Linked DNA regions of Saccharomyces cerevisiae S288C. Changing the gene in region 1 together with any one later gene gives a genetic interaction. Each region holds a gene or a part of one and is shown in the gene's direction. Other genes may lie near its edges.

The links. A genetic interaction does not mean that the proteins touch.
Region 2: mutations in GRH1 (region 1) and YLL053C together harm fitness more than expected from each alone (negative genetic interaction), as found in Saccharomyces cerevisiae (one large-scale study listed by BioGRID).
Region 3: mutations in GRH1 (region 1) and YER188C-A together harm fitness more than expected from each alone (negative genetic interaction), as found in Saccharomyces cerevisiae (one large-scale study listed by BioGRID).

The regions. Positions count from the first base shown.
Region 1 is NC_001136.10:1,475,410-1,478,903, forward strand, and holds GRH1 (Grh1p), read left to right. Parts: upstream 1-1,829; coding exon 1,830-2,948; downstream 2,949-3,494. Other genes in the region: EMI2 (putative glucokinase), read right to left, coding at 1-1,067; protein disulfide isomerase EUG1, read left to right, coding at 3,199-3,494. UniProt on the Saccharomyces cerevisiae protein: Involved in the spindle assembly checkpoint. Involved in ER to Golgi vesicle-mediated transport by either facilitating USO1-dependent and -independent tethering or increasing target accuracy of fusion events of COPII-coated vesicles.
Region 2 is NC_001144.5:35,003-37,742, reverse strand, and holds YLL053C (uncharacterized protein), read left to right. Parts: upstream 1-1,781; coding exon 1,782-2,240; downstream 2,241-2,740. Other genes in the region: FRE6 (putative ferric-chelate reductase), read left to right, coding at 1-410; AQY2 (Aqy2p), read left to right, coding at 1,382-1,831; YLL054C (uncharacterized protein), read left to right, coding at 2,539-2,740.
Region 3 is NC_001137.3:569,108-571,783, reverse strand, and holds YER188C-A (uncharacterized protein), read left to right. Parts: upstream 1-1,876; coding exon 1,877-2,176; downstream 2,177-2,676. Other genes in the region: YRF1-2 (Y' element ATP-dependent helicase protein 1 copy 2), read right to left, coding at 1-304; YER189W (uncharacterized protein), read right to left, coding at 261-629.

The DNA.
Region 1 (3,494 bases):
TCGTAATTACGATACTGTCCCAAGATTAAGCCCCTTGCATGCAAGTCCACCAGGATGTTCCTTAACAGCTCACCCAAGTACATGCCGGAAATTCTTTTTTCAAATAGATGGTAACCTGGATTTGGAGAAAATTTTTGGTCAATATCGATGTCATACTTTGTAGCAGACAAATGTTTCAATTCATTGTCGAAAGAACCCCATTCGATGTTGATGCACATTTGGGTTTTTCCTTCATGCAGCAGTCTTGTTCTGAGCTCATCTGGTAGCTTCTTGATGTTTTCAATATCCTCCATATAGCAACCGTTAGTACCAGTACCAAAGATACAACCAATGACAGGCTCGCTAATCTCACCAGCACTCGATGGACGAGAGCCTGAAGTGTAGCAGTGGGATAGGAAAGTGCCAACCGTGTCGTTGGTCAAAGCTACCACATTAATCATAGAGAGCCCCTGAATGTCTAATTGCTCCTGGTATAACCTCACGACATCCTTGCCGACCGTGTCTTCAATCTTGAAGCTTTTGGTCCATCTGATTAAAGTACCGGAACTCAAAGAGGTTTGGTCAACGGGATATGAGAAGGTAAATCCCATTTTCAAAGGTTTTATGTTCTCCCCCGTGGACTTCAACAACTCAGGATGATGCTTCCTAACGAAGGCCCTTGTACGGCGACCCAGGTAGCTAAACAGCTCCTCGCTGGTGACATCCTTGTCATTTAGATATTCTTCCGGAATCTTAGACTTCAATTGCTGCATATCAAAGGTTCCGTCACCATTCAAAGTCACAGAACACACTCTGAAGTGAGTCCCACCTAAATCTGCAGCCAGCAAAACACCACGTTCCGTCCCATTGGGCAAACTGGTTACATATGTAGGGATCATGGGTAGACCCTTGTCCACCGTCTTTTCTTCGCCTACAGAGGTGTTATTCAACCCCTTTTCCATACATTCAATGAAGTACGCTGTTAGTTCGTCCAACTTTGCTGCATCAACCTGCAATGAGGAGCAGATCTCAACCACTGCATCTTCCAATGCCTCAGCATTGACTTTATGTAAATTTTCAAATGACATTACTGTGTATCTATGATTCGATTCTTGTACAATTCTTCCTTGATACACTGATATCTGTTTCTATTTAAACTTCCTATAAGTATGAGACGTACAAAAGAACACGAGACAAGATGAGATTTTACACTTACACAGAATCGACTTTATATAATCCCGAATACATGTTTCCCCCCCCTGCATCGCAAGCATAATAGAATTCGACGACCCGATCTTCTTCCTCTGTCTTCCACACACACAAACACTAATTCACTCTCACTCTCTCACTTTCCCTTTCGACGACACACACAAAAAGACTTTCTGGATGCCCCGCGTTTTTTGTCACTTGATTCTTCGAACAAAGACGCAGGCAACTACCCCTGAAGGGCCCACCCGAAAGTAGTTGCTACTGCTCGTTGCGGTGGCTGCCAGAGTGGCGACGTAGCGTTGCGTTGTGGCTAACATTGGTGAGACAACCCGATTAAATTACTTAATGGGCTCTCCCACCGCCTTTGCACCCAGTGACAGCCATTTTGAAGATAGCATCGGGCTGGCTTCCAAATAAAATCTAGGTCGTTTCTATTAAGTTCGTTTCGTTATTTTTCTGTCTTCGCGGCGGACACGCAAGCCGACGACGACGAGGTTTAGTTGCATTTTGGCTATCATAAAAGAAATGGGCTTGTCGCAACGGGATCAGGACCAAGAACAGGGGTGCTGAGACTACTACTGTAACTGCGACCGACACAGCGTGCGAAACTAGGGAAGTAAAAAGGTATAGGAAGAAGAACTATGTTTAGAATAGCTAAAAACCTCGTACGGACTTTTGAGCAGAGCGTGCAAGATACCCTGGCACTCTCGCAGGACTCGAGCAATCTGGACGCTTTCTTTCAGTCTATACCACCAAATTTGTTGTCTGCTCAGTTGGAATCACCCGTAGATGCGGTTTCTGAAGGTGTTAAGCACACCAACGTCAATGAAACGCTTTCCGGTCTCCGCATTGTTTGGGTGGACGAGATGCAGTTCCAACTGCAGTCCTTTTTCGACTATATAGTAGGTTTCAATGATGATCCGGTGCCGGTGGTCAGTAATCAACACGGATTTTCGTACCCAGATTACCGTCGTATCACATCCATCTTCAATGAACACTGTGGCCGAACTTTGAAGGTCAACATATGGTCAGCTAAAGGAGGCACGTTCAGAGACGAGTATATCAGCATTATATCGAAGGAGAGCGACGATTTGGACGATGTTTCTCTAAACCATGACGAGAGGAGGCCATCTAGTGGGGAAGCGCACCAGTTCCAAGCACTCGGGTTCAAAGTCCAATGGACGCCTTTGATAGCTTCCACTTTCACATACCATATCCTGAACGTGAACATCCCAGATGGACCCGCCCAATCGGCAGGGCTCATCCCAGATGAAGACTACATTATCGGCTGCCAAGATGGCCTGTTGGCCACGGGAGGGGAGACGCTTTTACAAGATATTGTTAGATCAAGAGCAAACTACGATCTGGTCCTTTATGTCTACAACAAAGTTTCTGACTGTGTGAGACCAATCACAGTTCATATAGGTCCCGACGGCAGGTTGGGTTGCAACGTTGGATACGGGTTTCTTCACAGGATTCCAACAGTAAAGCACTGTCCACAACAAGCACAGCAGCAGGGGCAAGATGACAACCCTGTTCCTGTTCCTGTTCCAGTAGAATCTGAGACGGCTTTTGTGCCATCAGCATTCACAGCACCACCGGTGCCAACAAAGAAGAAATCAAAAAATAAAAAGGGTACCCAGCCATTGGCAATGGATGACTATTTTAATGAAGGCAGAGATAAGTCATCTACCGCTGCGAAGTCAGCAGAATCTGACATCCTCGCCCCACCACCACAAAAACAGTCATCCTCTGATTAACTTTCCTGGTTAGTCTTTTGGTTTTGTTTCATAGCAAAATTAAATATATATATATAAGCTTGCTTTCCCTTCAAAACACGTAAACGATAGTTGGCAATGTACGAAAAGTACCGAGACTTTTTTTCAAAGGCACGCGTGTCCTTTTTTGTTAAGACAATAGATATTTTAGCATTCAGAAAGTTTCAATTTCCAAGACTTGACGTTTCAATTATATGGCAATCTCCCAACAAGCACCCGCTCATATAATACCATGCAAGTGACCACAAGATTTATATCTGCGATAGTCTCGTTTTGCCTGTTTGCTTCTTTCACGTTGGCTGAAAACAGCGCAAGAGCTACGCCGGGATCAGATTTACTCGTTCTAACAGAGAAGAAATTTAAATCATTCATCGAATCTCATCCGTTAGTCCTCGTCGAGTTTTTTGCTCCATGGTGTTTGCATTCTCAGATCTTACGCCCTCACTTAGAAGAGGCCGCCTCTATTTTAAAGGAGCATAACGTCCCAGTTGTTCAAATTGATTGTGAGGCTAACAGTATGGTTTGCCT
Region 2 (2,740 bases), on another chromosome or scaffold:
ATAAACCCAAGAGTATAGATTTGATCATGGCGATCAAAAATCCTTCTTTTCTTAACGGCTATAAATCCGAGATACTAGAGCTAAAAAATAGCCGATCCCACGTCAACGTGCAGGTTTACCTTACACAGAAAACAGCTGTTACAAAGGCAGCAAACGCACGAGACCAATTAATACATTTTGATGATATAATGACCGAACTGACAAGCTTCGCCCACATCGGCAATGCAAGACCTAATTTTAGCAATGTAATTGAAAACGCAATAAAAAGTACGCCGCCTGGAGATTCATTAGCGGTCGTGTGCTGCGGCCCTCCTGTTCTGGTGGACGATGTTAGAAACACCGTTTCTCAAAAACTCCTCGGTTACCCAGAGAGAATTATAGAGTATTTCGAGGAATATCAGTGTTGGTAAATCTTCTCTCCGGCTCCTTCTGATCCTACGCCCACCTATATCTACATATATCTACGGCACTAAAAACTTTTATGTACCGCATAAAAGGTGCTCTTTAGCAACTATTTTTAGTTAATTATTTGCGTTTTAGCTTTCAGGAATTTGCTTGCTAAGACGATGTCTAATAAATCCGGTACTTCTTTACTTGCAATTAATTACTAAGCGGCGCCTGAATTTTTCCGGCTTGATGCCGAGCAAAAATTAACTCTAAATCCCTTTCTGGGAACGAGTCTTTGAAGTTCTACGGTCTTTTGTCTCAGGAAAATATGTCCCGAGAAAGATGGAATAAGTATGGATTTTGTCCTTAACCAGTGGAGGTGGCGCTGCAGTCCTTCTTTTCAGACCCAAGCAAACAGACCAAAGGACATTTTTTTGGAAAATGTTAAGAATCAACCCTCCGAAATCTTTTCACGGCTCAAATTACTGCGGCCTTTTTCTGCTTCTTAAAAATGGGAGCATGATTATTTAATTAGCATTGCATCTGCGTGCACCGTAACTACTACAGTACTTTTACTGCCGCTGAGACGACAGCACGATCTGTTTTAACGTCGTAGGTGTATTTTTTTTTTTCCCGCTAAAAGAGCACCGCCATAATAATGACTTACCTCCTCCAATCCTTCTAGATGTTTTTCTTTAAACTCCTACAGTGAATTAGATTATTGCAAGTGCAAATTAAAAAAAAACCTAAAAAAAAAAAAGAAGGAAATAGTTTTTGTCCATACCGGACTATGGCTTTCATTAACGAATTAGAGCGCCGCTGTTATCCTTTTATTAACTTTTTATCGTGAATCATATCTGCCCCTCTCTCGGTTGATAGTATAAATATGTTGGTTTTAGTAGCTTATTAGTGTGCGCATGTCTTTTTTCTTGTTCCTGGCTATTACAATTCCTGAAAATATTCAAAAGCGACACTAGCCTACCTTAGTTATACTATGTCTAACGAATCTAACGACCTTGAAAAAAACATTTCGCACTTGGACCCGACCGGTGTTGACAATGCTTATATTCCACCTGAACAGCCGGAAACGAAGCATTCGCGTTTTAATATTGACAGAGATACCTTAAGAAACCACTTTATCGCTGCTGTGGGTGAGTTTTGCGGTACCTTCATGTTTTTATGGTGTGCTTACGTCATTTGTAATGTCGCTAACCATGATGTGGCTTTGACAACCGAGCCTGAGGGCTCTCATCCAGGTCAATTGATCATGATTGCCCTTGGTTTCGGTTTCTCTGTGATGTTTTCTATCTGGTGTTTCTGGTGGGGCTTTGAACCCAGCCGTTTCTCTCTCTTTGTGTTTGGCCAGAGCCATCTCACCAGCCAGATGTGTAGTGATGTGGTTTCCTCAGATCATTGCTGGGATGGCTGCTGGTGGTGCCGCTAGTGCTATGACTCCAGGCAAGGTTCTCTTTACTAATGCTTTGGGTTTAGGCTGTTCCAGATCTAGGGGGTTGTTTTTGGAAATGTTTGGTACTGCTGTGTTGTGTTTAACAGTTTTGATGACTGCTGTTGAAAAACGTGAAACTAACTTTATGGCTGCGCTTCCAATTGGTATTTCTTTATTCATGGCTCACATGGCTTTGACCGGTTACACTGGTACCGGTGTCAACCCTGCAAGATCTCTGGGTGCCGCCGTTGCTGCCAGATATTTCCCTCATTACCACTGGATCTACTGGATTAGCCCACTTTTGGGTGCCTTCTTAGCCTGGTCAGTGTGGCAATTATTACAAATCCTTGATTACACTACATACGTTAATGCCGAAAAGGCGGCAGGTCAAAAGAAGGAAGACTGAGAGTAGTCTGCTCAGAATTTTATCTTTTTTGGCATAACGCTCCCATCGTAGTTTAATTTAATTTAATTTAATTTAATATAATAATATCTTATTTTTCATATTTACTGTCCTTTATTTTTTTTTTGTTTTTATCTCTTCTGGTCAGAGTTCTGTTTTTACGTAAGCGGCAGAAGTATGCATTCTTCACATTTTTTCCTCCTAAAGGCAACATTGAGGCCAAACTTTGGAAACAAAGATGATGTGAAGTAATTATTTACCCATCAGAAATCTATGACAAGATAAGTGTACTGCACTGGATATGAGCATTGCATCTCAGAAAAAGGTTAAGCCATCGTTTGTTTGCTTGCGGTGTAAGCAAAGGAAAATCAAATGTGATAAACTTTGGCCTACTTGCTCCAAATGCAAGGCCTCATCCTCGATTTGTAGCTACGAAGTGGAACCAGGACGGATTAACAAATCTCCCACTATCGAAAATGCCCCACATAGAGACATTAGAAACA
Region 3 (2,676 bases), on another chromosome or scaffold:
CAGAAAAAATCGATAGCTCATCTACGTGTAGTAACAAAAACATGTAGGGTGCCAAATTGTACCCATATTTCCTTATGGTACTTTTCTGAAGACTCCTTACAATAGGTGCGCCGGAAACAAAGTCAGTGAAAGTACGCATCGTAGAGCTGTCGTTCGGCCTAGCACTCGCTTTTTCGTGACAACGTTCCAGGACACGGAAACTCAACTCATTATAGTATCCTCTGTTGAGGTAAAAAAGAGAAAGGGTATCGTAATCCTTTCTATTGAATTTCAAAGTATGCACTTGAAACAACGTGTAGACCATCACGTGGTTTGTTTGAAGGGATTGGTCCGCCCTGGAAATCTGGTTCGTCTTCAACAAACGTCAGGAACTTTTGTACATTTTTCCCGACCATGACGGAAATGACAATTTTTTCAAAAGACCTTTTCCTATCCATTGCACCAGTTCTGAATTTTACCACTTTGATTAGGCCAGACTTTTCGTCTTCGTAGAATGACCGCACTTCCGTGGGGATCGATTCAAATAAAGTTATTGAGGGACAATGTACCAAGTCGTTTTTGTTATTTAGAGCCGACTCAAACTCGTCAAAGTTTGCTTTTTCAAACTTACGCCTATCGGAAACTTTCATTTTATTTTTGTAAGTTTCGAAATTAACAATAGTATGTTGATTGTTATGCTTTTTGACAAGAAATCCATCAATATAAACAAAAGATTCTCCAGTTTCCGTCTTATCATCATCTAAGAATGTAATAATTAAGCTATTGAGAAGATGCAGAATCTGCGCTATGCAGGTGCAGCAAAAGCAAACAAAATCTCACTAAGATAAGCGACTGTCTGTCCCCTTCAAGCACAACATAGAAAACAGAAGGATGTCTCATTCATCGCTTGATTTCCGGCCTGCAAAAATAAAGTAGTCGGTACGTACGTTCGTTTTCAATTTCCATGGTGCACAGTATCTTAACTATCTGCTTAGTCGAGGAGAACCAGGATTCTGTTCGTTGCTCAGCCGCTTCGTGGATATTCTCTTGGATACTTTAAACATGGACCTACGCTTAGCCTGCGCTTAGCCTACAACTTCTTCCGCTCTCGAAAAGACCAATATAATAAAAAGTTATAAATTACATTTCCTTATTAGGTATACGACCTCGCGCTTCGAAGTAAAGGAGCCCTTTTTGGCGTACCTACATATGGCGCGTCAGACAGACAACCTTCCCTCAAAATGTATTACCCCGCCGAATAAGAAAACAGACCCATTCACCAACGACGTATCAAGTTACTTCCTTGGTTTGCAATGTCCCACTATAAAAAAATTCCTTAACGCTAGATCTTTGGGCTAAAATCTGCGTCAAACAGGAAATATTGCCTATTTTCGTACAAGGTTACTTCCTAGATGCTATATGTCCCTACGGCCTTGTCTAACACCATCCAGCATGCAATAAGGTGACATAGATATGCTATCCTAATCTAACCCTCGCCAACCTGTCTCCAAACTTACCCTCCATTACCCTACTGTCCACTCGTTACCCTGTCCCATTCAACCATACCACCCCAACCACCATCCATCCCTCTACTTCCTACCACCAACCCACCGTCCACCATAACCGTTACCCTCCAATTACCCATATCCAACTCCACCACCACTTACCCTACCATTACCCTACCATCCACCATGTCCTACTCACTATACTGTTGTTCTACCACCATATTGAAACGTTAACAAATGATCGTAAATAATACACACGTGCTTACCCTACCACTCCAATCCCACCACCACATGCCATACTCACCCTCACTTGTATACTGATATGGCATACGCACACGGATGCTACTACAGTATACCACTCTCAAACTTACCCTACTCTCACATTCCACTCCATGGCCCATCTCTCACTAAATCAGTACAAATGCACTCACATCATTATGCACGGCACTTGCCTCAGCGGTTTATACCCTGTGCCATTTACCCATAAAGCCCACGATTATCCACATTTTAATATCTATATCTCATTCGGCGGCCCCAAATATTGTATAACTGCCCTTAATACATACGTTATACCACTTTTTCACCATCTACTATCCACTCAATTTATATACACTTATGTCAATATTACAAAAAAATCACCACTAAAATCACCTAAACATAAAAATATTCTATCCTTCAACGATAATACATAAACACACTCAATTACGTATCAATACCACCATGACGTCATTAACGTATAAGTTCCTTAATATTACCATTGCTTGAACGGATGCCATTTCAGAATATTTCGTACTTACACAGACCATACATTAGAATAATATGCCACATCACTGTCGTAACACTCTCCCACAAGGATAACCATTTTGCACAGGGTGGCTTTGCATCTCATATTCGAGTCCATGAGCATTTTTTTATTCGCACTCCATAAAATATTTCAAGTCCATTGGCAGCACCTTTGCTGTGCGGTGGTATCACTGTGTTTTCACCATTATCGAGAAATGACTGTGGTGCAGGTAAAAAGGTGTGCTAATCGTCTCTGCGGTTTGGGGCACATAGGTATTGTATGGGCCAAAGCTATGTAAGCTGAACTGTATGTCTTCTCACGTGGCCAGTCGAAAAAGAAGGGCTCTTAAAAGCTCACCGCGTCAGAAGATGAAAAGTGGCCAAGAAGTACTTCAATACGTCGAATCTA